Linked DNA regions of Lonchura striata. The protein of the gene in region 1 interacts with the protein of each later gene in a pairwise test. Links are inferred from orthologs where the notes say so. Each region holds a gene or a part of one and is shown in the gene's direction. Other genes may lie near its edges.

Evidence for each region.
Region 2: the proteins of TEX11 (region 1) and NEFL interact in a two-hybrid assay, tested with the Homo sapiens proteins (2 studies listed by BioGRID and IntAct). The two-hybrid records come from large-scale screens. The link is inferred for Lonchura striata from reciprocal best matches to the Homo sapiens genes TEX11 and NEFL.
Region 3: the proteins of TEX11 (region 1) and ATXN3 interact in binary tests that used the Homo sapiens proteins (3 or more experiments, as listed by UniProt). The link is inferred for Lonchura striata from reciprocal best matches to the Homo sapiens genes TEX11 and ATXN3.
Region 4: the proteins of TEX11 (region 1) and ZNF414 interact in binary tests that used the Homo sapiens proteins (3 or more experiments, as listed by UniProt). The two-hybrid records come from large-scale screens. The link is inferred for Lonchura striata from reciprocal best matches to the Homo sapiens genes TEX11 and ZNF414.

What each region holds. Positions count from the first base shown.
Region 1 is NC_134616.1:19,168,212-19,175,806, forward strand, and holds the start of TEX11 (testis-expressed protein 11), read left to right. Parts: upstream 1-4,582; 5' UTR 4,583-4,607; coding exon 4,608-4,638; intron 4,639-4,731; coding exon 4,732-4,919; intron 4,920-6,894; coding exon 6,895-6,979; intron 6,980-7,595. Other genes in the region: nuclear cap-binding protein subunit 2, read right to left, coding at 2,263-2,361, 3,021-3,159, 3,938-4,119, 4,287-4,373. UniProt on the Homo sapiens protein: Regulator of crossing-over during meiosis. Involved in initiation and/or maintenance of chromosome synapsis and formation of crossovers.
Region 2 is NC_134634.1:2,824,527-2,832,264, forward strand, and holds the start of NEFL (neurofilament light polypeptide), read left to right. Parts: upstream 1-4,723; 5' UTR 4,724-4,759; coding exon 4,760-5,809; intron 5,810-7,377; coding exon 7,378-7,502; intron 7,503-7,738. UniProt on the Homo sapiens protein: Neurofilaments usually contain three intermediate filament proteins: NEFL, NEFM, and NEFH which are involved in the maintenance of neuronal caliber.
Region 3 is NC_134608.1:16,336,779-16,344,484, forward strand, and holds the start of ATXN3 (ataxin-3), read left to right. Parts: upstream 1-4,689; 5' UTR 4,690-4,716; coding exon 4,717-4,740; intron 4,741-7,706. Other genes in the region: CPSF2 (cleavage and polyadenylation specificity factor subunit 2), read right to left, coding at 154-302; NDUFB1 (NADH dehydrogenase [ubiquinone] 1 beta subcomplex subunit 1), read left to right, coding at 2,182-2,321, 3,450-3,486. UniProt on the Homo sapiens protein: Deubiquitinating enzyme involved in protein homeostasis maintenance, transcription, cytoskeleton regulation, myogenesis and degradation of misfolded chaperone substrates.
Region 4 is NC_134630.1:3,385,564-3,392,574, forward strand, and holds the start of ZNF414 (zinc finger protein 414), read left to right. Parts: upstream 1-4,004; 5' UTR 4,005-4,114; intron 4,115-7,011. UniProt on the Homo sapiens protein: May be involved in transcriptional regulation.

The sequences.
Region 1 (7,595 bases):
GGCACATGGTGACATCCCTTATTTTGTTCCCAAGAGCTGAAGAGCTGTTGGGCTTCCCTATCTTCCTGATGACTTTGGACCCCATTATGCCAGCATCAGAACAGCCAGTAAGGATTCCATATACCTGGTGGCTGTATTTTTTGCCCATCTCAAAAGTTCTGATGAGTTTAGACTGGGTGGTTTGTGTTTCTTGCCTGAATTCCCTCACTCCTTCCTGCATTTTCTTTTCTCGAGGACCAGCTTCTTGATGGAACCCTTCTCCCTCCTCCCCTAATAACTGGTGATACAGACCCATTGTCCACTGGGTTTTTTCCACAACTGGGGCAAGCATCGTTGATCCTGTTTGGGCCCCTATCTCTACTATCACCTCAGATGGAGTTTGTCCCCAGTCTCAATCAAGTTACTCTCAGAGGTGGCTGGGGTTCCCGAGTTAAACACAGCCCTCTGGCATCCCTGAACTGTGGCTTTGCAGGCACATGCCAAGCCCCAGTACAGTGCCAGAACCTGCTGGTTTTCACTGGGGTAGGCACCTTTGGCATGTCAGTTTCCCAGGGTTACTTGCTTGTTCAGGTGGAGTCCCAGGCTATGGGAGGTGATAACTAGCCCAGGCACTTGCCCAAATCCTGCCACCCACGGACCAGCCACCTCAGGGCACATTTCAGTATTGACTCACCCAAAAAATTGTCTTCTCTTACATTAGGATGACATCAGAATACACAGACCCCATGATATGTCAACTGTGTTAATTACTAGTATTAAACATCTCATGTAAGGCTGAGCAGGAACAATAAAGCCACCCACACCAGGTGGGAGTGGGAAATGGGATCCTCTCCACAAGGCAGCTCCCCCAGCAGAGCAAGGCCATCTGTGCCAGGGCAAAGCACAGAGCCATGGTTTGTACTAACATGTTCCCAAAGCCCAGCAAAGTAAAGAGATAAGAAATGCAGCCAACAAACACCGTGACTCAACAGGAGCTGCCTACTTAGTAACTACTATGGCTAAAGCACACTTAGCACAGAACAGCCATTGCCTCAGGCCCCACACTGGGCACTAAACTGTGGTGGGCTGACCCTGCCTGGACACCAGCTACCCACCAAGCTGCTCTCTCACATCCCTGCTCAGTGGGAGCGGGGCAGGGAGAAAGTAAGATGGGAACGGAATTTGTGGGCCAAGATAAAGACAGTTTAATAAAGCAAAAGCAAGGCTGCATGTGGGAGCAAAGAAAAACTAAATATTTATTCTCTACTTTCAACCAGCAGGAGATGTCCGGCTACCTCCTGGGAAGCACAGCTTCAGTACACAGAGCAGCTGCTCCAGAAGACAGATGTTTGAATAAGGAATGCCCCCCATGTCCTTTCTCTTAGCTATTGCTGCTCAGCAGATGCCATATCGTTTGGAATATCCCAAGATCTTGCCCCCACCCCAGCCTGCTGGTGAGGTGGGAATGTCAGAGACAGCCTTGATGCTGTGGGAACAAAAGCCAAAACACTGGTGTTTTATCAACACCTTCCTAGCTACCAATACAAAACACAGCTCTATGAGGGCTGCTAGGGGTAAAGTTACCGTCAGACACAATCTCAGTCAGACCCAAAACAACTGTTTATTTAAAAAAAAAAAAAAAAAAAAAAACCAGAAACTTTTAACAAAACCACACCGAACAGTGAGGATCCGAAAAGCAAGGCAGCACTGGGGGCATCACAAAGAGAAATGTTCTGCAGGCCCTGACCAACCCAAGGGCTAGATGTGCAGACAAGCACCTCCAAGCGCGTAAGACCTTGTCCACTTCTCTCTCATTCAGACAGTGATACTGTTTATTAAGCAGGTAAGGTTGTAAATTAGAAACCTGAATCTCTTGTGCATCCTCACTGGGTGCCCAGGCACCTGGAGGGCTCCAATGGTGGCAAGCTTTTAAAAAAAGTTCAGTTTGAAAGCAACCACAGTGGCAGCTGCAGCTTGGAGGAAGCCACCTGCTTAAGTGCAACACGAAGAGTATGTCATAGCATAAGATGTGTGTGACATGCTACATTTCTTCTTGCCCAAAATCCTACAGAGCTGTCCATTTTTCCCTTGTTGCCCTGTATCAGCACAGAACATCCCCTCTAGCTCAGAAAGAAGGGAGAATGAACACATGTATATCTGCAGTCTAAGGAGAGTCACCTTTTGCAGGAACTTGGATTTCACTCCATACCCTGAACCCAAATGTGAGAACAGGGCTAGCTCTGGAAGGACAGAGTCCTCTGTGAGCTAGGAATCATGAAGCAATTAATAGATTGCAGGCTGGTGATTTGCCTTCTGCATCTGAATGATCTTGCCAAAGCCACCTCTTCCCACATCGTAGTCTGTCCGGTATTCATCTCGCACCTGGGGCACAGCAACAACACATGTATTAATAGCCAGCACTGCCTGTCCCCTACTAGACTTCAGAATCATCATCCCCTCCTTGTTCAGTTGGTGGGGAACTGAAGTTCAGATTAGAAGCACTTCAACTCGTCTGAGATCTCTTCAACTAATCCACCAGAAACGTGGTAATGGTGGTGAAAATGACCAAAAGGATGTATCTGATTGTTGAGAATTTTTCAGGTAAGAAGCAAAGAAGACCCCAAAGTATTTTTGTTCAGCTTTTCCATACACCCTTTTGAACTGCCAGATTTGGCCTTCAGAACATTTTATCTCATCTAAACCTCATCCTTGCCCTTGGGGAAACTGCTGTTATTGAGATTGGCCTGGCAGCCACACTGCTTCCCTCTACTCAAATTCTGGATCATTTCAAAAGTACTAGCTTGGTTTAGGGAACATTCTGCTTGCATTGCAGGACTTTTGGAGTCCTAGACAGAAGTGGCCTTAAGTTCTATTTCCAGCCTTTAACACCAGGTGTCAATTACCAAAACAACCTGGGAGTGAGTAAACTTCATTATCAGGTCTTTACAGCCTGCACATTGTTCTCCCTAGGACAAAATCAGCAAGTAAGTACACGGAGTCTTAGAGGATCAAATTCAGGGATGAACTGGCATTGCCTTTACCTGTCCTCCAGTCTTTCCTCTCCCATACTGTCGCCCCTCCTTAAACCCTGCATCCCAGTCCGTGCGGATGATGCGGTCGTCCAGCCGTGTGCCGTTGATAAACCTCATGGCATGCTCAGCATCTGCTCTCGTGTAGTATCTGAGGCACTCTGTAAGAACAACTAAGTGTGCTTTGTTGGGTACAGGGAAAAAAAACAGGGAAAGTATTGTATTTGAGAAGCAGAACTCCCCCCCTACTGCCTTCCAGCCTTTTCTACTCTTCCTGCTCTTCTCTATGAGATCAAAAACTGCACTCATGTAAATCTAAGCTAAGACCAGCTAAGGCTCAGAAAGGATTCTGTACTTTAATGTTAGTACCTGCACAGACAAGACAACGAAACAAGACATTAAAGCCTTGCTAAGGGCAAGAAATCAGTAATATGCCTTTTTGTACTATGTAAAGCTTGACTGAAATAGAACAAAAGGAGCAGGCTTCACAGGAGAGCTCTGCATAGACAGCTCCTGGCACAACCTGTATAAGCATGTACCCTTTGCTTGAAAACGCCCCCATGGCTTATCCAGCTACTTCCTTCAGGTGTAAAGTTGAGATAAGAAAGTAAACGTGCTCTGGACATGGAAGACATCAGACTGATGAATGTAACAGCTCTCATTCTGGCCATAAAACCATTAAACGAATGAATTAAAGGGGCTCTCTGCCGCCTCCAGAAACTACAGCTCTGGTGGCACTTGTCACGTATGGCACCACTACACAATCGGTCTCAGGGCACAGTGAGGAAGGGGCAAGGATGGACGGGATGTGCCTGGTAGGAAGCACTTGGCTATCACCTTTCCAGCAGCAGTACAGATACACTTGCAGTGCAGAGGAACTACAGGCGCCAACCACATCCCTACTGACAAAAGGGAACCAGAAAGGATACTCTACAAAGCAGAAGCCACAGGGGGTTTTCTTGATCTTGTCCAGACCCATGACAATTCTCTTGACATCTCCGCACTTGGAGAACAGCTCCTGGATCTGCTCCTCGGTGGTGTAGAAGGAGAGATTACCGACATACAGCGTGGAGGAAATCTTCAGGGATTTCTCCTGCAGCTGCCTGCTACCCTGCGGGCACAGAGGCGCACGCCGCGGGCTCAGCGCGCTCGCCGTCCCGCTCCTACCGCCCCGTGCCCTCCCGCTGCCCGGCTTCTCGCACGGCCTTGCCCCGGCCTCAGCCCTCCCCGCCCCGGCCGGGCCGGGCCGGGTCCCGCCACCCGCGGCGCCGGGCGCACCCGGAAGTGCTGGTCCCGGTACTGGCTGATCTCGCAGTACGAGTCGCTGTTGAGCCCGCTGAGCGTGGTGTGCAGCAGCCCCGACATGGCGCCCGCCGGCCCCACCGCCGGGATCCTTCCAGAACCGCCGCGCGCCGGACGCGGGGAGCGGCGCGCGAGAAACGCCGCTCCCGCCCCGCGCGATTGGCCGCGCCGGCTGTCACTCAGGCGGGGGCGGGGCGGAGCCGCCGGACAGCCAATCGGCAGCTCGGGGGCCCGCCTGGAGCGCTGGGCTGGGGCGCGCAGGCGCAGTGCGGGGCGCAGCGCTCCCGCTGAGGGGCCATGGCGGGGCCGCGGGCGGCGGCCGCGGAAGGTGCTGTGGGCCCTGGGCTCTCCCCGATAAGCGCCGCCCCTGGCGGCTGACGTTGGGCTGCGTGTCATGCCCCGCTGTCCTCCTGTCTTACAGCGCTGGTGCAGGAGCTGCTGAGGGAAGAGGCGCCGTCCCGCATTGCTGCCCTCGCGGAGGAGCTGTTCCAGGCGGCGGAGAGCATCTCTGAAGGGGATGGGAAGGTGGCGGAGGGAGAGTCCCCCGCTCCCAGCCCGTCTGAAGAAACGGGGCGTGCATGTGCTTCGCACCCCACAGCCCTGGCCCAGGTTGGTGCTGCAGCTCCCTAAACACCAGCTGCTGCTGCTGCTTCCCATCCTTGGCGGTGAGGCTAAAAGTGTAACACTACTGAAACGTAAAGAAAAGAGTTCACTTCTTCGTCATTTGCCCCAATAGCGTAAAAGTCCAAAATAAAGTGGGAAATGTTATTTTTAAAAGTCAATGTGAAATGATCTTGAATGTAAAAATATGTGTGTCAGTAACTCTGCTCTCATGAGACCCCACCTGGATACTGTGTTCAGGTCTGGGGTCACCAGCATCAGAAGGATGTGGACCTGCTGGAGGAAGTCATGAAGGTGACTGAAGGGCTGGAGCACCTCTCCTGGGAAAGGCAGATCGAGTTCAGCCAGAAGAGAAGGCTCTGGGGAGAACTTACAGCACCTTTAGTGCCTAAAGGGGTTCCAAGAGAGCTGGAGGAGGACTTTGGCCAAGGGCTTGAAGTAATAGGAAAAGGGGAAATGGCTTTACATTGAAAGTAGGTTGACTTAGATTAGATATTAGTAATATACTGTGAGGGTGGGGAGGCCCTGGCAACAGGTTGCCCAGAGCAGCTGTGGCTGCCCCATCCCTGGAAGTGTCCAAGGCTAGGTTGGACAGGGCTTGGAGCAACCTGGTCTGGTGAAAGGTATTGGAACTGGCTTGTCTTTAAGGTCACTTCCAACCCATCCATTCTATGATAATAATGGGAAAAAATACTGGTTACTTGTGCTGTTAAGGTATATATTATTTCAAACTACTAGTAGTATCTAGTTGTAATTTCAAGGAAAAATGGAAGCAGAGAGCACTGATGCATTAAGCATTTGGTACTGGATCAGAGGAGAGGCCCTTCTCACCTTGTCTGTGGATTCCCATAGTGACAGCAGATAACCCAAGGAAGAAGAAAACAAGCAAGCATGTAATTTTAACTGCCTGGTAAACAATATTCCAGTACACAATATTATATTTGAGGTACTAATTTTCAGTCCTTGCTAAAGTTTATCAGATGGTTGTTCATAATGTTTGCTTTTTCCTTCTGTTTATTTCTCCTAGAGGAGTACTTAGAAAGAAGTAAACATTACTTTTAAAACTCTTTTTTCAAAGAGAAATCTGGTAATATATGAATCTGAAATAAGGAAGAAGACCAGCTGAGATATAGTCCAGCTTCTTCCTCTAAAATTATATTTTCAAGAGACATTTAATAAGTAGCAATTATCAGCTAAGGAACACTGGTTTTGGAAGTCCTAAATTTGCAACAAGGAGCAAAATAAGTTAGCAGGTGTAGCAGAAAGTGTCAATAGTACAGTTTGTAAAGAAATACAAGAGCATAAAAGTGCTATCCTTAAGTTCTTCCTGAGTCAATTGGGGTAAATTATTTTTGAAGAAAGGAGAAATCATTCATTTGTAATCTGGCCACTTCAATAAGAGGGGCTATGAACTCTCTCCTAGATAGGCAAGATCTCTCATGAAAAGTAGAATAAAGTGATGGAAAATGCAGCCCCTCAGGTGGGTTGCTAAAGCAGATTATTGCTTTTATGTAGTGTTGTATCTTTTGAACAAGAGTATATACTCAGTAACCTTTGTTCTTTGTTTGCTAATATCCAAAGTTTCCCAGTGTAGGTATTTAAAGTAATTAAGCTACTTAGTGTTCTTTTTGATGTGCAAAAGAGGTGAAGCCTTACTACAGGTCGTTCTCAAATGTGATAAGAATTCTTAGAGTTCTTTTCCAACCCCTTCAGATTTTAGGTGAAGAAATGCTGCATCCATTCAGCATGCCTGTTTTCAGGTCACTGTCCAGCATGTCCTGTGGGATCCTGTGACAGTTTTATGGAAAGCTCACACCTTTCACTCTGGTGTAAACGGAAGTTGACAAACACTTGGAGAGGCCATTCCTGTGAAACACATGAAAGATGCTTATTTTTCAGTAGTAAATTTCAATTGGATCCATATCCGGGACAAAATTTAATTGAGTGGAATTCTCCCCTTCAGGTTGAAGAGAGTGCAGTCAGCTTGTGGAACTGGACTGTGACCAAACACACAGCTGCTGTTATCAGTGATGAGCAAAGAGCCAAACGTATGTATGTTCTGTACCTTCCTAAAGGTGTTCTATGTGCTGTAGCATGGAAACTAAACACTCTCTGCTGCCAGGCACATAAGTAGTGCTGTAGATTTGTTTGAGCCTTTGTAGACATGGTCTAGAAAGACAAAAATGTACTGGTGGGCTTGTATAAACAGTTCAAGAAGAAGCATCCTAATGCAATACTTATCTTCTTGTGACACAGAATCAGTGTAGGCATTTTTATCACTCTCCTTTCCATGCCAGAGCACCAGTAAGGAGGTGATGAGACCAAAGGAAGCTGTAATTTGCCTTCTGAGACTGTGGTTCAAATCTAAAAATGTATGGAAATAACACAGATAAATTTTAGACCGTTGGTCACTTAATTTATATCAAGTGAGATAGTTACATTAAAAAAACAATCTCATCCACGTTTACATACAGAAACATTCTAAGTCCTCTTTTTATTGACCTGCTTTAGCCAGGTGCACAGCTGGTAGGTTCTCTTGGGCCAGGGGCAGGGCTGGGGGAAAGCAGAAATGAGCTTTTGGGATTTTGCCTTAGTGTGTTCTTTCTGTGGTTTTGTGGGATTGCAGTGTCAAGCCTACATTCTTGTCCTGAGGGATTATAGTCA
Region 2 (7,738 bases), on another chromosome or scaffold:
AGCAGCTTTTTAGGGCACAACAAAGCTCAGCTCAACTGAGATCATCCGGTGGCCTTAAGTGGGGGCTAAAGTCAGGGCTGGCTTGAACCCAGCTCCTGCTGTGCCCTTGGGTCCAACCCTTGCTCCTCACACGGGCAGAAATGCAATTAAAGCAACGAGACTGCAAATTAATAAATTGTCTCCTTCCAAATGGGCTGGGAGGGGTTTATTTTCAGGAGTTTTATTTGTCTGGAGAAGCTGCCCCATCCCTGGACGTGCCCAAGGCCAGGCTGGAGCAGCTCGGCCTGCAGGAAGGGGCCCATGGCAGGACATGGAATAAAAATGTTTTTTAAGGTCCCTTGCACCCAAACCACTCCAGGATCTGGCCAAAACCCCTCTCAGCTGATGTTTAATTGCTGGAACCAAAAGCAGAACATCAATTTAATTGATTGTGTGAGATAAGAACCAGCCCTGGGATCTGCCATCAGATGTTGTGGTCTAGTTTGGAGGCCTGATCCAACAAGTAAACAAAGCTAATTAATGAATCTTCTAATTAAGCGTTCCCTGATAGAACTCAGATGAAAGAACTGGCTGCTTGCTTACTCCAGCTCCTGTAATCAAGAGAGAGAACAAACTCAAAGTGAGCAATTTGCTGCTACTGTGTGCAGAAATTGGTGTAAATAATAATAAAATAATGCAAGCTGCCCAGGCACTTGCTATATCTGGCACCAACAAAGCAAAGACTGGTTCAAAGGAGATAAATTAAACACTTATTTGCATTTCTTCTGAGTCTCCCAGAGGCTGTAGTTCAGTCCTTGCAGACAAAATTCTGCTTTGGGTTGGAAATTCCTGTGAGTGTTGCCTCATATTAAAAGGACTACTTGGAATACAGGAAAAGGAATTCCTAAAATGTGAGATTTTGTTTCATTTCATCAAAATAGATCAGAGCATTTTCTTTTGCCTTTTTAATTCAACTCATGCAGACACTTTGATATAATTTTAGATAAATACATAAGACCTGACATCAGAGCTATTGAACATTTTTAGATGTGGGAGTGTCTGATTCCCCACTCCCTCAGAGCTGGGCTTTTATGAGGTAGAAATATTTTTTTTTTAAAGGAAAACCAATGTTTTTGCTTTTGTTTTTTTACTCAGGACTGCTTGATTTCTGTGTAAATCCCAAGTAAGCAGGCACAGCTCCTTCTGTGCTTCTGCAATAAAAGCAGCAGCAGACAATGAAGACTGAAATGTCCCTGTTGCAGTTTCTAACATGAAATTCTTTGATTAAAAAGGGATAAAAAGGCAAATCCCCACAGAGTTCACTGGGGACATTCAGGTAATTTCCTGGCGCTCAGCACAGGGCTCAGGTCTGAGCTTTTCCTTGAGGAAATGCCACTTGCAGGTGGGGATGTGTTATTTATGGATGCAGCAGAGGAAAAGGAATGAACAGAAATATTTTGCCACGGAGTTGCTGCTTTTCCTCGGGCAGCAGTGGGATTTGAAATCATGGAATGGTTTGGGTTGGGAGGGACCTCAAAATTCACCCAGTGCCACCCCTGCCATGGGCAGGGACAGCTCCCAAGGGACAGGGACTGTCCCAAGCTGCTCCAGCCTGGCCTTGGATACTTCCAGGGATGGGGCACAGCTGCTTTGTCATTTCTGCATCATCCCTCAGAATAATCTGCATTATTTGGGACACCCAGGGAATGTTTTCAAGAGGTGAAGCTGGGTTTGGGATTCTCTGCCTGAAGGGTTGATGACCTGGGGAGACTCACAAGTGGTGAGGGAGCAGCTTCACCTCCAGAGGCAAAGGGGGACAGTGCTGAGCTGCTGCTCAGATTGGTTCCCAGAGCAGCTTTTTAGGGCACAACAAAGCTCAGCTCAACTGAGATCATCCGGGGGCCTTAAGTGGGGGTTAAAGTCAGGGCTGGCTTAAACCCAGCTCCTGCTGTGGCTCCTGGTGTCTCAGATGAGACAAGTGGCACAGGCCACTCCATCCTGGCCTGCTTTATGCCCTTCCTCTGCTCACAATATTGATTTTTCTAACACACATCCAGGGGCTTGCTCATGCTCTGCATTAAGGCAGAAAGCAACAAAAAGGACACAAAGGGAGTGGTGGAATCTGGCAGCACTCCCCTGTGCCTGGAAATACAAGGTTGGAGAGCAGGATGCCTTCAGGAGTGGATTTCTGCTCCTTGGAGTGCCAAAGCTCCATCCCCACCCTGAGTCCCACGGAGGTTCCACACTGCAGGGCTGTCTGCTGACACCCATCTTCCTCCCCATGCTCCTGGAACACAGCAAAGGATTTTCCACTCCAAAAAAAATGCAAGAAGGGATATTAACAGCCTACAATTACACAATTACAAGGCTTGCTTTGCTGGGATCTGAAGCACAGTGGTTTTTACAAGCTGAGGTACATTCCTTTATTAATACATGGCATAAGAAATGATAGCATTAATAATTAAATCTTGTGCTCAGGTTGCTGTAGGGCAGATTAGCATAAATTCATTGGCATGAAACAAGGTATTTCAGTTTGCAGGGGCTGAGTATTCCAGAAGATATCAGCTCCCTGAGATCCTGACCAACAAGCTGGGAATCTTCCTCTCTGCAGTGTCTCTATTCCTCATTTCTTCCCCTTTCAAACCCAATCTCTGCTAAAGATAAAATAGATTAACACAGAAGACTCTACCTATGCTGCTCTCCTTTGCATATTCTGAATAATGAATGGCTGCTCTGACATGCATGAATGCAGCCACAACTCGAATTTAAAAAACAAATGTTGAATAAAAATCGAGGCAGAAAGAAGCCGGGCTTGCAGGGCTGGCTGCTGAGAGCAGCTGCATTATTGCCAGGAGGACTCTGCAGATTTGCAGAATGAAGTCTCCCACCAGCTCTGCTGGGATAGAAGTGGCACTTAAGCCTTGATGAGCTCTTGGTACAGTTCATTCCATGCAGAATGAGCTCTGATGAGCAGGGACTGCAGCTCTGTACCTCTGAGGGGCCGTTGCCCTTCACAGATCAATGATCCTTGTGTTTAAATACCCTGAAACTTATGGAGAAGCTGTCACACAACAGGTGACGCTCTGTGTGAGGTCTCTGGAAAATAGCAGGAAATACACTAAATCCACCCTGCTCTATCTTTCCTAAAGGCTGGTATTAAATAAACATTTCTTTGTGCCAGAAATAGCCAATTACCACTGCAATTACTGACAGGCACATTAATTCATACACATTACTAAGTCCTTCCCTTTTCTTTGGGAAGCACCTCAGCATTTTTGTGGTATCTAATAAATGTCCCCCAATCTTTACTGACTTTTATTCCTTCCTTGAGAAACCCTTGAAGAGGCTGTTTTGTGATATATTTGCCCTTCTGACTGCAAGAGGTGAATTCTCATTCTCTTTTTGAGCCTCCCATGCAGCCTGTGCTCAATACATCTCTAATTTCCCTCTGATCAATCCTTACTACATAAATACTGCTTTGCTTTAATCAAGCAGTGGTAATAGCCTGGCCCAGAGGTAGCTGCAATGCAGCTGTCCAATTTAATCTCTGTATTAGCCAGATTAGACAAGGATAAATATCCTGTCCTTGTGATCCATGTCTCAGACAGACTCGGCTCCAGGGCACCTCAAGGAACCAGGTATCAGCCAGGACTGAGAACTGCCCTGTTTCTGCTGCTGCTTTCATGCAATGAAAGGACAAATAACTCTGCTGGGTTTCCCCTGAAGTGCCCAAGGCCAGGTTGGATGGGGCTGGGAGCAGCCTGGGACAGTGGGAGGGTTCCTGCCCATGGCAGGGTGGGACTGGATGGGCTTTAAGGTGCCTCCCACCCCAAAGAACTCCACGATTCCATGATGCTATAATCCCTGGTTATTAGGGACCACTTGTAACAATGGACATGGGGAAGATGCAGGGGCTCAAAGAGCACTCATGCTTGTGCTAACTGCAAACTGAAGGGGAAAAAAAATATACTATTTACACATCTGGAGGTTCTGAGTTGCAGCCAGGGTTGGGTGTCCCTCAGCCTCACCGAGGCAACCTCAGCCACAATGAATGTGCTGGAGCTTGCAGCACATTCCCGAAGCTTCTGCCAGGGCAGCTGTGGAGAAGCAGAGCCGGGGTGTTAAACACAGCCTTGGCAGGCTGCAGGGTGCAGATAGACCTGAGGGGAGCTGGATCTGAAAGGGCCCCGAAGGGGGGCCGGGAGATGCCCCGGGAGGGCCCAGGCTGTGCCCAAGGAGGGCTGAGACAGGGCTGAGAGGATGAGGTGGGGCCGAGCCCAGGCTGCTCCGGAGTAGGCCGGTCCCAGCTCCCCGCGCCCGCGGGGATGCTCGGAGCTGTCCGGGCATCCCTTCCCTGCCGTGATAGCCAGAGCTGTCCGGGCATCCCTTCCCTGCCGCGATGCCCGGAGCTGCATGGGCATCCCTTCCCTGCCGCGATGCCCGGAGCTGTCCGGGCATCCCTTCCCTGCCGTGATGGCCAGAGCTGTCCGGGCATCCCTTCCCTGCCGCGATGCCCGGAGCTGCCCGGGCATCACTGGGGCGAGGTCCTGCCCGTGCCGCTGAGGCCATCAGAGCAGTGAGGGAATGAATGCCTGCATCACTCCGGGCATCCCCTCCCGGCGGCGGTGCCTGGACCGCTCCGGGCGTCGCCTCCCCGCCGCGGTGTCTCCGCGCTCCGCCCCGTCCCCGCCCGGCGGCCGCACCGCCCGCCCTCCCCGCGCATAAATATCGAGGTGCGGGCGGTGCCCGCCGCAGAGCCGTCTCCGGAGCCCCCGCAGCCATGAGCTCGTACGGCTACGACCCGTTCTTCCCGTCCTACAAGCGGCGCTACGCGGACAGCCCGCGCATCCATGTGTCGGTGCGCAGCGGCGGCGGCTTCGGCTCGGCGCGCTCCGCGTACTCCAGCCTGTCCGCGCCCGTGTCCTCCGTGTCCGTGCGCCGCAGCTACGCCGCCTCCAGCGCCTCGGGCTCGCTGCTGCACTCGGTGGACAGCCTGGACCTGAGCCAGGTGGCCGCCATCAGCAACGACCTCAAGTCCATCCGCAGCCAGGAGCGAGCGCAGCTGCAGGACCTCAACGACCGCTTCGCCTGCTTCATCGAGCGCGTCCACGAGCTGGAGCAGCAGAACAAGGTGCTGGAGGCCGAGCTGCTGGTGCTGCGGCAGAAGCACGCCGAGCCCTCCCGCTTCCGCGCCCTCTACGAGCAGGAGATCCGCGAGCTGCGCTTGGCCGCGGAGGAGGCGACGAGCGAGAAGCAGGCGCTGCAGGGCGAGCGGGAGAGCCTGGAGGAGACGCTGCGCGGGCTGCAGGCGCGCTACGAGGAGGAGGTGCTGAGCCGCGAGGATGCGGAGGCGCGGCTGCTGGAGGTGCGCAAGGGCGCGGACGAGGCGGCGCTGGCGCGGGCGGAGCTGGAGAAGCGGGTGGACAGCCTGCTGGACGAGCTGGCCTTCCTCAAGAAGGTGCACGAGGAGGAGCTGGCCGAGCTGCAGGCGCAGATCCAGTACGCTCACCTGTCCGTGGAGATGGACGTGTCGGCCAAGCCCGACCTGTCGGCCGCGCTGCGCGACATCCGCGCGCAGTACGAGAAGCTGGCGGCGCGCAACATGCAGAACGCCGAGGAGTGGTTCCGCAGCCGCTTCACCGTGCTCAGCGAGAGCGCCGCCAAGAACACGGACGCCGTGCGAGCCGCCAAGGACGAGGTGTCCGAGAGCCGCCGCCTGCTCAAAGCCAAGACGCTGGAGATCGAGGCCACCCGCGGCATGAACGAGGCGCTGGAGAAGCAGCTGCAGGAGCTGGAGGAGAAGCAGAGCGCGGATATCTCCGCGCTGCAGGTGAGGGGGCGTGGGCTGGGATGGTCCCTCAGGGGACGAGGGTCGGGGTCCATCAGGGGAGGGGATGAGGGGGTGTGCAGGGCTCGGCAGGTCAGGAGAAGCTGGGGTTTGAAAGGTTGTGAGGGTGATGGGGTTTGGAAGGCTCTGCAGGTGAGGGGATGATGGGGTTTGGAAGGCTCTGCAGGTGAGGGGATGATGGGGTTTGAAAGGTTCTGAAGGTGAGGGGATGATGTGGTTTGGAAGGCTCTGCAGGTGAGGGGATAATGGGGTTTGAAAGGCTCTGCAGGCAAGGGGATGATGGGGTTTGAAAGGTTCTGAAGGTGCGAGGGTGATGAGGTTTGGAGGGCTCTGCAAGCGAGGGGATGATGGAGTTTGAAAGGCTCTGCAGGTCAGGAGAAGTTGGGGTTTGAAGGGTTCTGAAGATGCAAGGACGATGGGGTTTGCAGGACTCTGCAGGTGAGGGGATGATGGGGTTTGAAGGGTTCTGAAGATGCGAGGGTGATGGGGTTTGAAAGGCTCTGCAGGGGAGGGGGTGATGGGGTTTGCAGGGCTCTGCATGGGACAGGGCTCAGGTTTTACAGGGTTCTGCAGGTGAGGGGTTCCAAGGTTTTCTGGGTTCTGCAGGTGAGGGGTTTCAAGGTTTTCTGGGTTCTGCAGGTGAGGGGTTCCAAGGTTTTCTGGGCTCCGCAGATGAAGGAATGGACATTGGGGTGTGAAGGATTCTGGCGGTGAAGGGGTGGATGTTGGGGTTTGAAGAATTCCGCAGGTGAGGGGGGTCAGGGTTTGCTGGGCTCTGCAGGTGAAGGGATGAATGTTGGGCTTTGGAGGGATCTGCAGGTGAGGAGATGTCGGGGTTTGAAGGGTTTTGCAGGTGAGGGGGGTCAGGGTTTGCTGGTGAGGGGAGTCGTGGCTGCAGAGCCTCACAGATGAGGGGATCGGGTTTGGGGGCGTTGTCGGGGGCATCTCTGCAGATAAGGCATCCTGAAATCCCAGTGCAGAATGCCACAGAGCTATAAAGGAGGATGTGGTGTGGAAATACAGACCCAAATCGGGATCTGAATTATCAAAATCATCCCAGACATTAGTTCTGGTACTGCTTATCTAAAGTGTGAGCTGTTATAAAATCAGAATGCAAAATGCCCCTGATAAAGCTCAATATCCATGTGTCCATGTACTGATGCAGCCAGAACTATACCAGAAAATCATGGAATCCCAGAATATCCCGAGTTGGAAGGGACCCGCAAGAATTAACAATGGATATCCCTAAGCTAAAATTTAAAAAAAGTACATAAAGGTCAAAATCAAAATGAAACAAAATACAGATTTCACTGTGCTTTAGCACTTGGGTACCAGAAAATTTGGCTTTTTGTGTTAAATAGAACTGGAATAATGTGGGGTAGAAAACCTACCAAGAAGGTGTTAAATGATGCTGTTTGGCTGAGAGTGGGAGCTGTGCAGTTTCTGCCTGCTAGAGCAAGATTAAATTAAAAGGATTGGAGAAATTCCCTGTGATTATTGCTAGGCTTGAGAACAGAATTTTATGCTGTCAATGTTGTTCCATCCAACAGGATACAATCAACAAATTGGAGAATGAGCTGAGAACCACAAAGAGTGAGATGGCTCGGTACTTGAAGGAATATCAGGACCTGCTCAATGTGAAAATGGCCCTGGACATCGAAATTGCAGCTTATAGGTATGGTGGGGGATGTTTTAATGAGCCAGAACTCAGAGCACTTCCCATTCTCTTCAGGAGAATTCAGGTTATTTTTCATCGCCCCAGCAGAAATTTTCATAGGTCTGGGGCAGTTTAATCAGTTCCTCTCTATGTGCACACAGAATTTTTAGCTTGGCAATAAATGATCTCAGTTCTCCATCCTTACAGATAAAAGTACCTCTTCTGTACTTGGGGGAGAGGTTTTGTGTCAATGG
Region 3 (7,706 bases), on another chromosome or scaffold:
TCAGCAGTGTGATACCCTTCATGTAAAATATACACAAAACAAAACAAAAGAACAATTTTGCATTTAGCAACACTATACCACTGCGTGGAATTTTGAAAACTTTTAAGATAGACCAAGCCCTAATTTAACAGGTGTATGAACTGAACTACTTACTTCCTCAGAGAATCAATAATATCCATAGAAAAGTTTTCATCCCAGCCACAGTCCAAAAGAAAACGAAACTCATCTACTTGCAAAAGATAGCAGAGGGCAGATTCCTCCTGCACCCCCGAGAGCGTAGTCAACTTGATAATCGATGTCATTTTCCTCTCCAAGTGTTTAATCTCCAAAAGAACTAATCTGAATGGGGGACAAAATGTTTCACTTAGATGTTATTTAGATCTAGCTTCACATATTCCTGAAAATATGCAGGCTAACGGTGTTAATACTGTTCAATACAGCTGCTAAAGTCGCAGACATTAACATTCTACTCTTGCAGGTATTAGAAAGAGGTGGGGTTAATTTTCTACAATAAATATCAAGAATAATTTTAAAAAGGATCCCTAAGAGCAGCGCGGTTAACAGCAGCTCCACGGAGCTGGATGGGGGCACCCAGAGATGGCACATCCAGGGCCGCGACCCTCCAACCCAGGCCTGCCCGACCATGGGCACAGCGCGGGCCGGGCGCCCCGCGGGGGCTCCGGGGCTCCAGCGCCCCACCGGGCCTGGCGCCCGGGCCTGGCCTCTCGCCGGGCGGGGACGGGGACACGGGGGCGAGCGGTGCGCGCACTCCAGTCCGAGACGAGGAGAACAAGGGGAAGAGGAGGATGATGATGCGAAGAAGCCGGTACCTGCCGCCCTCAACCACCCCCAGCCCGCGCCGCGCTCGCCGCCATCTTGCGGGGGCGGGGAGGCGGGGCAGCGGGCGGAAGGGTAGCGGGCGGCACCACCGCGAGCCTGCCGGGGGGAGCGCGCTCCTCCCCCGGCCCCGCGCAGCGCGTGGTCTGGCCCGGCCCGCCCGTTCCCGGTGCCCTTGGCGCGGCCGCTGCGGTCCCGCTGCGGCGCGAGCGGCGGTAATGGCGGGGTGGCGCGGGGCGGGACCGCTGTCGGGCCTGCCGGGAGCGCCTCGGCCGGGACACGGCGGCGGCGGGCGGGCGGGAGCGAGCGCCCCTCAGCCGTGGGGCTTTACGGCGGTCGGGTCCCGGGCAGGCCGGAGGCGGCTGAGCCGGGAGGTGGTGGGGCCGTGCCGCGAGTCAGCGGCCGGGCCCGGGGCGGGGGTTCCGCAGGGGTGCCCGCCTGTCCGCCTGCCTGTCCGCCTGCCTGGCCGCCCCACAGCGGCCGCGGCGCGAACGGCGGCGGAGTTCGCCCCCGGGAGCCGGCCGGGGTCCGAGCCCGCGGCTGTGTGACAGACCTCACTGCCATCCCGTGTAATTCCCTAATCTGGAAGGCTTTGGTTGGGTTGGGAAGGTTTGCTGGGCCCCTATAGTTTGGAGAGGTCTGCGAGGGGATCTCACTAATGGGTGTAAATATCTCAAAGACGGGTGCCAAACTCTTTTCGTTGGTGCCCAGCAATGGGACAAGGAGCAATAGCCATTGCTAAAACACAAGAAGTTCTGCCTCAAGACGAGGAAGAACTTCTTCAATTTGAGGGTTACAGAGCACTGGAACAGCTTTCCAGAGAGGCCGTGAAGTCTCCCTATCTGGAGACATTGAGAAACCACCAGGATGTGTTGACAGAGAGGTTGGACTGGATGATCTCCAAAGGTCCATTCCAACTGTAATGATTCTGTCATTCTGTGATTTTAGAAAAGTCCTTTCTTATCTGTCAGTCTCTGAGACTTGACGCAGATAATGAAGTCTCCTTCTACAGAAGTTTAGGTTATGAAAGTGTTTCTAATGCTTTACAGAGTAGCAAACTTCTATAGAATTGCTTTAAAGAGTAAATTAAAGAGATGTTTTATTTCTCTCCTGTTTTAGGATGAAATCCTTTTTCCCAGGGTTAACATTTAGGATTATTTCTAAGAAGGCCGGGTATGGGTTTGAGAGCAGCATGTTTCTCCCAGGAAGTGTTTGATAGCCTTCATGTATATTATGTAATTGTGGAATCCTAATAAGTGAGAGTAAAGGTGCCAAGCATGCACCAGTTTCCAAGTGCACAAGTATTAGTACCTCTTACCTCCTACACTTTTCTTTCTAGCAGTCATGGTGAATTTCGCCCAAGCTGTGCGTGAACACTGGGTTCACATCCTTGTTCCCTTAGGATTTGTGATTGGATGCTATTTGGACAGATGGAATGATGAAAGATTGTCTGCCTTCAGAAACAAGAGCTTATTATATAAAAGGTCTGCTTTATGATGCCTCTTGTATACGTATATAGTTATTATTCAAAGTGCTTCTCAGTTCTTTTTTAGTCATGATTGTAACCAAAAAAAGGGAAGAAAGGCCTAAAAATATCAAGCATTCATGAAGTGTTTTAGGTCAGTAATACCCTCTGAAAACGGAATCTTTAGAAGCTATCATCTTCATGAAAGAAAGAATCATTAACTGCTGTCAAGTTCGTGGTCATGAAATATGGAAACCATTATTTTAACTCTCTGTAACTTCAGCAGAAAACACAGTGCTTGAGTTTTTATTTTCTTTCTTAAATTTAAAATTATCACAGTGCTTTTTGACAAAATTCTTTTTATAAATGTGTGTTACTTAAAAGTAATTACCAAGTCCTTGAAAATTAACATACAACCTGCTATGTCTTCACTGAATTATGTGATTATATACACTGATGAGTTTGGGTTTTCTGGCTCTGGTTCCTCAGGGAGTATTTACATCAGAGAACTTCAGGCATTGACTCACCTGTGTCAGTTCTAATTCTGTATTAGGTCTTGAGGTTAACAAAAGAGGAGAGAAAAAAGTCATGTTGCAGAAACTGATAGTAGCTATCAGTTTTCTAGTGGATTTGTCTTTCCTCCTCTGGCCTCACCTAAATTCATTTTGAATAAGAAAGAAAGCTTTTGACATAATCCACTCCCCTGATACATTAGCACTTTTCTTAATGTATTTGTTAGTGAAGTTGGGCTGCTATGTCGGTGTCTTGTAAAAATCCCTTCTTCTTTCACATTTCTCTTTCCACTAAAGTAATGAATTGTTACATTTTAAAAAAGTAGAATTTTTCATTTTGGATCCAGTTAAAAGTCTGTTAACTACTTAGAAGTCAGCTGTTCTGTGCTTCCATTTAAATGAATGGAAATTCAGAGGACTCAATCCATTGAAGCTTTTGAAAGAAAGGAGGAAGTTTATCAGTATGGAAAGATTTTTAACTGACAGCAATTGCAAGGAAAATTAAATTTTTACATAAATCTCAAATTGAAGGTATGGTTGAATGTAAACTAACACAAATATTAATAATTATTCTAAAAATAATGATACTAATTTTAGTCTCTTCCCTCTTGTTTTTTGGGTTTTTTTCTACACAGGGAATTGAAGCCTGGTGAAGAAGTAACTTGGAAATAAAAGCTGATGATGAAAAGGAAGACATTTTTGTTTGATTCATCGTCTTACATATTGAAAGAACAGGAATATGATTTTTACCCTGAGAGGATACTACAGTAAAGGACATCTGCAGTTCATCAGTGCTAGTTTAATATCTGGTGTTACTTTTTGAAGATGATTTAATTACATGACTCATATATGTTCAGGAGTTCCATTAGTCCACAAGCATTGAGAGAATTTTCTTCCTTACTCTGGAAAGGAGAGGAAGAATTATAGAATAAACTATGCAAAAATCATTTATGTTGGTATTGCTGTGTATGGTGTGGAATCCGTGTGTTTATAGCTATTTCATGAACTAGCCTTCAAAGAAATACTTCCATAAATCCAGAATGTGTTTGACAGGTACTGAACCTGCTTAAGTTGCTTTCTGGATTGTCTCTGTAGGCTTGTTTGGAATAGTGGTTAAGCAGTTATTGAGGCTTTGTGAGCGGACCAGGAGGGTCTAAGGAGTGCGCAGCTGGTGAGCACAAGGCAGGAGCGGTGCCGGGCGCCGCTCCGCTCGGTGCGGGGGAAGCGGCGCGGGGCCGGTGCGGATAGAAGCGGCGCGGGGCCGGTGCGGATAGAAGCGGTACCGGGCCGGTGCGGATAGAAGCGGTACCGGGCAGGTGCGGATAGAAGCGGCGCGGGGCCGGTGCGGATAGAAGCGGTACCGGGCCGGTGCGGATAGAAGCGGTACCCGGCCGGTGCGGATAGAAGCGGTACCGGGCGGTGCGGATAGAAGCGGTACCGGGCCGGTGCGGATAGAAGCGGTACCGGGCCGGTGCGGATAGAAGCGGCGCGGGGCCGGTGCGGATAGAAGCGGCGCGGGGCCGGTGCGGATAGAAGCGGTCCCGGGCCGGTGCGGATAGAAGCGGTACCGGGCCGGTGCGGATAGAAGCGGTACCGGGCCGGTGCGGATAGAAGCGGTCCCGGGCCGGTGCGGATAGAAGCGGTCCCGGGCCGGTGCGGGGCCAGCCGGCAGAGGAGCGAGCCGGCGGCGGGTGTCGCTCCCCGCGGGCGCTGCTGCCGCGCGGGGGCGCTCGCGGCCAGCGACGGTTTAGCCCGCCGGCCTCCTCTCCGGCAGGGGGCGCCAGAGCGGCGGGCGGGCCGGGCGCAGCCGGCGGGGCCTGCCCTGCGCGGCCGGGGGGCGATGGGCGCTGCGATTGGCCGGGCGGGTCACGTGGGGCGGGGGCTGCGGCTGCCACAGTAAACATGGAGTCGATCTTCCACGAGCGGGTGAGCGAGGGAGGGAGGGAGCGAGTGAGGGAGGAGCGGGCGGATCCCGCTGCCTGCCCGCCTTGGGTACAGCGCCGTCGGTTGTGGCCTTCCGGGCCGCCGAGACGGGGGAGGCGCGCGAGCTCTCTCTGAGGATCCGCTGGGGCGGTGCCCGGGCCTCCCGCCCCGCGGGGCAGCCCCCGGAGCCCCGGGGTGCGCTCGGCCTGTGTCGGGCCGGGCCGGGCCGCGCTCTCCTTCCCTGGCGTCTCTCACCTCCGGCAGTGGCTTGCCCTCTGCCTTGGGCGAAAGCCAGGCCCCTCGCGCGACGGTGCCTGTGGCCCGTCCCAGCTGGACGTTGCCGTCCCTTCCAGCCCTCCAGGGAAAGGACAGTCAGGGCTGAGCCTCGGTGTCTTCTTTGGCACGGGAACCGTGTTCTGGGGACTGCAGAAACAGCCCCCGGGTGTGGGGAAGTGTAGGCTGCAGCTACTTCTCTTTCCTGAGAGAGAGCTCGCAAGGCTGAGAAATGAGTACGAGGAGAAGCAGCGGCAGGCGGGGCTGTCCCTGTGCGCTCAGAGCCATCTCGTCACCGAGCCTGGCTTGGCTGGGCTTGTGTAATGAGCACGGACTGGGAGAACCGCTAGAGAAATCGCAGTTCATATAATGTACTTCTGTGTGCCGAGCAGTATTTCCTGTTTTGGAGGAAAATGCTGCTGTGAACTGCTGTGTTTTATCCAGGTTCCCAAATATGACCTATTTCTGTTTTAATGCTGTTCAAAGTATAATTGGATTTTTTCTTGCACTTTGCCAATGTCTCTTCAACTTTATTGTGTTAATACTAGTTCTGTTACTTTGTTTTGTTATGTCGAATTTATTTAAGAAGTCAAGTAAGATAGCCGTGTGCTGTCCTTTAAAAAATTGCTGTTCTGAGATCCATAAAAACTGGGGAGTGCTCTTTCTGAGTAGGTTTGGGTTGCAAAATTTGGCGAGTGTTGTGGTGTTAAGTAGCTGCTGTTCAGAGGGCGAGTGTTGGATTTCAGCTGTGATGGCCTCTGCTTCAGTGACCTTCAGTCTGGCTTTGAAAACAGTTTAACAGATGCACTCTTCTTACGTGGCCTTGTCTATCACAGTATGAATTAACTTTTTATTACTGAATTGCTTTCTAGTTTAATAGCAAAGCTTGTGAAATTGAAGTGACAAAGCATAATACATTCAGAGTTACAAGGTGAGATGGTAACTTGTACTTTCTCTGCCTTCTGGGGAAGGGTGAGTTGACAGTCTCTCACGTGAAACATACCTGCTCCCTGGCAAGTTAGTAACACAGTTAAAAAGTTGCACATCAACATGTTTTAAGTTGGAAAGCCAAACATTTTTATTCTGTTATTATTTTAGGGAAAATCTAACTGAATTATTCTTTTTCTTAAGGGGTATTTTTTCCCCCATCAAGTGCTGTCAGAATATTTAGAAGCACTGCATGTTCCTGAGTCTGCATACTCCAGTTGTTTTGATAGAAACACACGAGGGACATGGTATTTATTAAGAAAATTTAATAAAACAACCAGCGTTGTGGCCTTTTTAGAGACAAATAGCAGTTGCAGAAAGTAGGATTTAAGTATGGGGCTTCAGGAGTCCCAATCTGCAAAGTTTGTCCTTTCCTTGGTAAGATAAAAGTGATCAAAAACATTGAAAGCAGGGCAGCATTTTATGTCAGGAGAGGTTTCAATGAGAGGATTTCAGCTTATGGTAAAGAAGCAGTGTTCTCTGCACAAAACAATGGAAGTTCATGTCAGTTAAATACTGTAGGATCTCTTTTTTGCATTTGGCACTTCATGTGTATGACTTTTACACATGAGAATTAAGGTTTATTACTTTCAGATAATGCTGTACAAATACAGAAAGGTCCTTTTAGTGAAATTAGTATGTAAGCATGTAATACAACTAATTCCAGTGGTATTTTAGTATCTCTCTCTTTTTCTATCAGTTTCATGTTACTCCAGTGAGGAAGCCTGTGATTGTTGAGCAGGTTCTTCTGTTCTTCTGTTGCAGTTTGGTCATATGACCAGCAGTAGGGATGTGGTCCCAGAGGGACAGAAATTTGTGTTTAGTCTTGAGTTTCTTGCTGCAGGAAGGGCATGAGCTGGAGGAGGCTTCTGGATTCCACTCAAGCCTGGCTGTACAGCCAGTGCAGCTTCAGTAACTCATTGTTCAACTGAGCGATGAAGCCATAGGAAGATTCTGGAATAAAGAGAACTTTTGAGGTTTCAACTGTAAGGGAGATCATGGGAGAGTTCTACATATGATTTGTATGATGCTTTTATGGAATTTTAAAGAATATTCCTCAAAGGCATATTTTTGTATTCTTAGTTTCTGTGGGGCTGGCTTGAGGGAGGGGTGTCAGATTTTTTCTTGAGGGGTTTTGTTTTTAATGAAGAGCATGTGTAGGAGAGTTCTTAATGTAAATAAAAATGAAATGAAGACTGATTAAAACAAAAGAGAAAAGCAGGATTTTAAAACTGATGTTACTTGTCTTGCACATGTAGTTACAGTTATTTGTAGGAAAAGGTTCCTTTTCATGAGAAACTGCTTTGCTTGGTTTATATTGTGGTTTGTTTTTAATGAGACAGTGTTGTATCTCATATATGAAAATGTTGGAGCCTGTCATGCATTCATTCAGATCAGAGATTTTTTTGAATTTGTACTAAAAAATCATGACTGACATTGTTAGTTAACTCTTTTAAAATTTGTGCCAGTGTTTTAAAAATCTTACACTATAGTTCTATTACCTGTAACGTGTTGCATATGTAACCAAGTATCTGGAGTGTTTTTTATTTGAATGGTCTATCAATAAAAAAAAATATTTATGTTGTTTAATATGCTGAATTTAATATTTTTCTCTTGTTTCCCCATAATTGTTTTCAGGATTTTCAAACTAGTGGCATGATTTTATCTACTTCCTCTATGTAAATTTCATGTTAAAAAGGAGCTTTATT
Region 4 (7,011 bases), on another chromosome or scaffold:
GTGTGTAGGGGGGGTGTGGGGTGCAGAGTGTGTGGGGTGTGGGGTGTGTAGAGTGAAGGGTGCGGGATGTGGGTGTGGGGTGTGAGGTGAGGGGTGATGGGTGTGGGATGCGGGATGGGGTGAGGGGTGCGGGATGTCGGATGTGGGGTGTGGGGCTGGGGGTGCAGGATGTGGGGGATGTGGGGGATGTGGGGTGTGTGGGATGTGGGATGAGGTGCGGGATGTGGGGTGTGGGATGAGGGGTGTGTGATGAAGGGTGTGCAGGGTGTGATGTGGGGTGTAGGGTGTGTGTGTGGGGTGTGGGGTGTGTGGGGTCGGATGGGGTGTGGGGTGTGTGGAGTGAAGGTGCGGAATGTGGTGTGGGGTGTGAGGTGAGGGGTGTGGGGTGTGGGATGGGGTGACGGGTGGGGGCCGAGCCCTGCCCGGGCCGCCCCGGGAGGATTTCAGCGGCAGAGGGAGGGACGGGCCGGGAATGGACGGGCCGGGAATGCCCGCCCCGAGCCCGGCCCTGCCCGCCCCGAGCCCGGCCCCGCCCGCCCCGAGCCCGGCCCTGCGCCGGAGGAAGTGACGGGAGCGTGAGCGCACAGAGTGCGAGCCCTGAGCCCGGCCCGCCTCTTCCTCCGTGAGCCCGCAGAGCCCGAGCCCACAGAGCCTGATCCACAGAGCCTGACCCTACAGAGCCTGACCCTACAGAGCCTGATCCTACAGAGCCTGAGCCCACAGAGCCTGATCCCACAGAGTCTGATCCCACAGAGCCTGATCCCACAGAGCCTGACCCCACAGAGCCCGAGCCCACAGAGCCTGACCCCACAGAGCCTGATCCACAGAGCCTGATCCTACAGAGCCTGATCCCACAGAGCCTGACCCTACAGAGCCCGAGCCCACAGAGCCCGACCCTACAGAGCCTGATCCCACAGAGCCTGATCCACAGAGCCTGATCCTACAGAGCCTGAGCCCGCAGAGCCTGACCCCACAGAGTCTGATCCCACAGAGCCTGACCCTACAGAGCCTGATCCCACAGAGCCTGACCCTACAGAGCCTGATCCCACAGAGCCCGAGCCCACAGAGCCTGAGCCCACAGAGCCTGACCCTACAGAGCCTGACCCTACAGAGCCTGATCCCACAGAGCCTGACCCTACAGAGCCTGATCCCACAGAGCCCGAGCCCACAGAGCCTGAGCCCACAGAGCCTGAGCCCGCAGAGCCTGATCCTACAGAGCCTGACCCTACAGAGCCTGATCCTACAGAGCCTGATCCCGCAGAGCCTGACCCTACAGAGCCTGATCCCACAGAGTCTGACCCTACAGAGCCTGACCCTACAGAGCCTGACCCCACAGAGCCTGAGCCCACAGAGCCTGACCCTACAGAGCCTGACCCCACAGAGCCTGAGCCCACAGAGCCTGACCCTACAGAGCCTGACCCTACAGAGCCTGATCCACAGAGCCTGAGCCCTCAGAGCCTGATCCCACAGAGCCTGAACCTACAGAGCCTGATCCACAGAGCCTGATCCCACAGAGCCCGAGCCCGCAGAGCCTGATCCTACAGAGCCTGACCCTACAGAGCCTGATCCTACAGAGCCTGATCCACAGAGCCTGAGCCCTCAGAGCCTGATCCCACAGAGCCTGAACCTACAGAGCCTGATCCTACAGAGCCTGACCCTACAGAGCCTGAGCCCACAGAGCCTGATCCCACAGAGCCTGAGCCCACAGAGCCTGAGCCCACAGAGCCTGATCCCACAGAGCCTGAGCCCACAGAGCCTGAGCCCACAGAGCCTGACCCTACAGAGCCCGATCCCACAGAGCCCGAGCCCACAGAGCCTGAGCCCACAGAGCCTGAGCCCACAGAGCCTGACCCCACAGAGCCTCAGCCCAGAGCCCAGCCCTTCTCTTCCTCCCTGATCCCACATCCCAGCCCTCCTCTTCCTCTGTGCGCCCACAGAACCCGAGCCCACAGCCCGGCCCTCCTCTTCCTCTCTGATCCTACAGAGCCCATCCCTCCTCTTCCTGATCCTACAGAGCATAATCCCACAGAGCCTGAGCCCACAGCCCAGCCCTCCTTTTCCTCCCTGATCCCACAGCCAGCCCTGTTCTTCCTCCCTGACCTCACAGCCCAGTCCTCCTCTTCCTCTCTCCCTCCCAGCCCGCTCTGGAGCTGTTCCCATGTCACACAGACCTTCCTCCCCACCTCAGATTTGGGGTCCAGCGGTGTTCTGCGCATCCTGTGTCCTCCAGGGTGGGATTGACAGAGGGCACAACCCCACTGGGATGGGAATTTTCCCGTGGAATTCCCAGCTCCTCACAGCCCCACGCTGGAAATTGTGGGTTCCCCCTCCCACCATGAGGGGGTTTTTCAGCCCCTGCACTCCTCGGGGTGATTTTTCTTGTAAATCACAGCTTTTTTAGGAATACTTGCACTGCAGAGTGCAAGAGGGAGGTGTCTGATTTGATTTTAATGAAAAATATTGGCTTTGGGAACTGAGGATTGAGGAAATCCTGCACCTTCCAGCCCTTCCTGGGGGCTGGGGATGGGGATGGGGGCGGTGGGTCCTGGCAGGGGGATGGGGATGGGAATGGGGGCGGTGGGTCCTGGCAGGGGGATGGGATGGGGACAGTGGGTCTTGGCAGGGGGATGGGGATGGGAATGGGGGTGGGTGGGTCCTGGCAGGGGGATGGGGATGGGGGCGGTGGGTCCTGGCAGGGGGATGGGGATGGGGGCAGTGGGTCTTGGCAGGGGGATGGGGATGGGAATGGGGGTGGGTGGGTGGCAGGGGGATGGGGATTGGGGTGTTGGGTCCTGGCAGGGACACGGGAACTGGGCCAGCTCAGGCACTCCCTGGGCTGCTCCCGAGGGCTCCAGGGGCTCCCAGGGATTTGGGGTCTCTCAGGGGCTTTTGTTGCTGTGAGGATCCTGGAGCATCCTGGGCTGTTCCTTGGGGCACACATGAGCTGGAGGGGTGGTCCCAAAAATCTGGGGTGCTCCCAGGAGCCCAGGGTGTTCCCAGGAGACCTGGGTGCTCCCAAAAATCCAGGGTGTCCCCAGGAGCTTGGGGTGTTCCCAGGAGTCCGGGGTGTTCCCAGGAGCTCGGGGTGCTCAGAGGGCCCCGGGATGCTCCAAGGGTCCAGCACCTCCCACAGGGCTCTGTTCCCTCAGAGCAGCCCCGGATGCTCCAGAGCTCCCTGGACACTGCAAAGCCCCAGGATGCCCTGAGGAGTCTGAGATGCTCCAAAGCCCCCCAAGAACTCTGGAAGCCTCAGGATGCTCCATGAGCCCTGGAATGTTCCAAAGTCCCTGGGGTACTTGGCAGATTCCTTGGATGCTCCAAAACCCTGGGATGCTCCAAAATCCTGGGATGCTCCAAAACCCTGGGATGCTCTAAAGCCCTGGGATGCTCCAAAATCCTGGGATGCTCCAAAACCCCTGGGATGCTCCAAAGCCCTGGGATCCTGCAAAACCCTGGGATGCTCCAAAGCCCTGTATCCCACAAAACCCTGGGATGTTCAAAAACCCTTGGATGCTCCAAAACCCCTGAAATTCTCCAAAACCCCCAGGATGCCCCAAAACCACTGGGATGCTCCAAAACCCTGGGATCCTGGAAAGCCCCCAGGATCCTCCAAAACCCTGGGATACTCCAAAACCCTGGGATGCTCCTGAATGCCTTTCCCTCTCCGGGATTCTCTAAAACCCCCAGGATGCTCCAAAACCCTGGGATAAACCAAAACCCTCGATTTCTCCAAAAGCCCCGGGATGCTCCAAAACCCCGGGATGCTCCAAAACCCCCGAGATTCTCCAAAACCCGCAGGATGCTCCAAAGCCCTCAGGATGCTCCATAACCCCGGGATGCTCCAAAACCCCGGGATGCTCGAGCTGCCCGCAGACGCCGGGATGCGGGTGCGGAGAATCTCCCGGGAAAAGCAGCCGGGAGAGGGGGGGAACGGGGCGGGGCGGGGCCGGTCCCCCCCCCAGGCCCCCGCCCGCCCTTCCGCACGTTCCTTCCTCCCCCCGGCATCCTCCTCCTCCTCCCCCCGCTCTCGCGACAGCTCCGCACAGAAAATGGCCCCGCGGCCGCCCCGCCGCTGATGCGCGACCCGGGCGGCGCCGGCCCCGCCGCAGCCCCGGTACGGCCGGGAGGGACCGGGAGGGACGGGCGGGCACCGGGGCAGGACCGGGACCGGGGAACGGACCGGCACCGGGAATGGATTGGCACAGGGGGTGCGCAGACAGCCGGAGATTTACCGGCACCGGCGGGGGTGTACCGGCAACCGGGGGTGTACCGGTATCGGGGGTGTACCGGCGCCGGGGATGTACCGGTATCAGGGGTGTACCGGTATCGGGGATGTACCGGTATCAGGGGTGTACCGATATCAAGGGTGTACCGGTATCAGGGGTGTACCGGTATCGGGGGTAACCCGGCATCAAGGGTGTACGGGTATCAGGGGTGTACCGGTATCGGGGGTACCCCGGCACCGGCGGGGTGCTGGCACCGGGAAGGGAGCACTAGTACCGGGGGATGTAACGGGCCAGGGGTGTACTGGCACCGAGGCTGGATCGGTACCAGGGATGAACCAGCACCGGTACCGGGGGATGGACCGGCACCGGGGCTGGAGCTGCCCCGGGGCCAGCAGCGGTACCGGAGCGGGGCCCGGGGTACCGGGGCTCTGCAGGGAGCCGGGACCTGCGGCAGCCCCGGGGCTGCTGCCCGCGGGGGCTCCAGCCACGGGGTCGCTGCCCACGGGCTGGGTGGCCGTGGCTGTCACCACCCCCTGGACTTGCAGCCATGGGTGTATGGCCCGTGGGGGGCTACCAGCCCCAGAAACCAGTAGCCAGGGGGGCTACCCTGGGATTGTCACCTGTGGGGCTGACAGGCACAGGGGGCCACGGGAGCCACTGCCCTCGGTTCAGCAGGACCCCCTCACATCCCGGGCTGCCCCTGCCGGGATCTGCCCGTGCTCCCTCCATCCTGCCGCGCCTCTGGGAGCCGCTTTGGGGCTGTCCGAGCGGGGGGATCCTGCCCTTGGCCACGGGGTGAGCTCGCCTGGTGCTGGGCTCAGCTTTGTCCAGGCTCGGGGAGGGAGCTCCAACATCCCCCGGTGGCTCCTGAAGGGAAAGCGGGGCTTTTTCCCAGCTGATGTGGCCGGGTGGATGGGCAGGTAAAGGTGGGCACTGGGGTGGTGTGGGAATGTGGGGAAATGGCAGCAGGGCTTGGAGCACCCTGAGGGCCAGTGGGGACCCCCAGGCCAGGGATGTGACACCAAGGCCGGGCACGAGGCTCAGCACTCACCCCTCTGGATGCCCACCCTGGCTTTGGGGGGTGCTCCTCAGGCTCCTCGGCAGATTGTGAGCTGGAACGCAGGGAACCCCTCCAGGGAGGGGTGGCACCGCAGGCAGCAGCTTTGCCCCAGCCCACGGCCGGATTGGGGCACCCACCTTGCGTGGGACACCTGGAGCATCCTGCCCCCGGCACCCCCAGCTCGGTGAGCTGCCGGCGCTGCCTGAAGGCTCCAGGAGAACGCACAGGCTGTGTTTTAGCTGGGCTGGTGGCACTGCCGGCGCTTCCTCCCCCGATGCGATCACATGAGCCCCTTGTTCCCAGCCTTTGTCTCAGCTCTGCGCCGAGGAGCCGCGGCTGGGGGCAGCCTCCTCATCCTCGGGCCTCAGAGATGCTCCAGTCGGATTATTTGTGCCATTTATCCTCGCGGGGTGGGTTGGGCAAAGTCTCAGGGTATGGATAAAGCCCCCCCCGGATGGTTTGAGGGGGATGAGCTAATTATTGTGCTAATTATGGTGTTAATTATTCACTGAATCAGCAGCACAGACTCCTCAGGGTGATGGGCAGATGCAAACATCCTGCCTGCCCTCATGGCTGGCAGTCCCTGGAAGGGTTTTTGGGGTCCCTGTTCACCCCACAGGGGTTGGGAGGAGGGAGTTTTGTGCCAGCAGCTTTTTGGGGAGGCAGGAAAATGCTGGGGATAATGACAGGGACAGGATTTGGGTTCCAGGGCAGGTTTGCACTGGTGGTCACATCTTGGGGGGAGTCATATTTCCAGTGGGGTCCTGTCTCTGGGGGAATTGTGTCACCAGGGGGGGTGACATCTCTGGGGCAGTGACATCTCTGGGGCAGTGACATCTCTGGTGACCACGGGAGGTCACTGGGGATGGGGACAGTGGCAGCTCAGCAGCACCTGGGTGGGGTGTCACACTCAGGGCTGCAGAACAGACAGTGCTGGAGGAGGGGCAGTGTTGGCCACCATCCCAGGGGAGGTGACAAATGACAGCAAGATGATCCAGGTGCCACCTGCTCTCTAAAAACCTGGGCTGGGCACAGGGCAATGCCACAGTGCTGCCACCGTGTCCTCTGCCATGTCACCCGTGGGGAACGTTGGGGCCAAGTGTCCATCCCGCCTGCCCTCACAGGATCTGCTCAAGAGCTTCTCCAGCTTTTCCAGAGGGAAAATATCATTTTACAAGGCATCACTGGGATGCTGCAACAGGGAAATGGAGAGTGGCATCTGTGATCCCAGAGGTTCCAACATCTCAAGGGGCTGCTGCCTTTGACCCTGGGGCTCCAGGAGCTCCTGTCCTCTGCTGCTGATGGGGAAAAATGTCCTGATTTCTTGGGGAGACTTTCCTGTGCTGCCCCTGAGCTCTCAGCACCGTGGCCCTGCTCCTTTTGGGCTCATCTGGAGCCTGTCGGTCCCAGGGCTCTGCCAGCCCAGGCTGGGCCACCCGGCTCTGATCCAGAGGGGCTTTTCCAGCAGGGCAGCAGGAATTTTGTCTCACTGCGCTCTCCAGCACCGGTGCTTCCAGCTCTCACACATCAGGATTGGGCACCAAAACGTGGCCATGCCACAGGGACACTGCCCAGGGGCTGGGCAGGCAGGCACAGCCCTGCCTCAACCTTTTCAGCATTGTCTCCCTCAAAAAGAAGATTCCCAAGACCCTTTTTCCCACCAAACCCCTCATTTCTACCTGATGAACAAAGCTCCATCAAAGCTGCTGGGAAATTCCCGTGTTT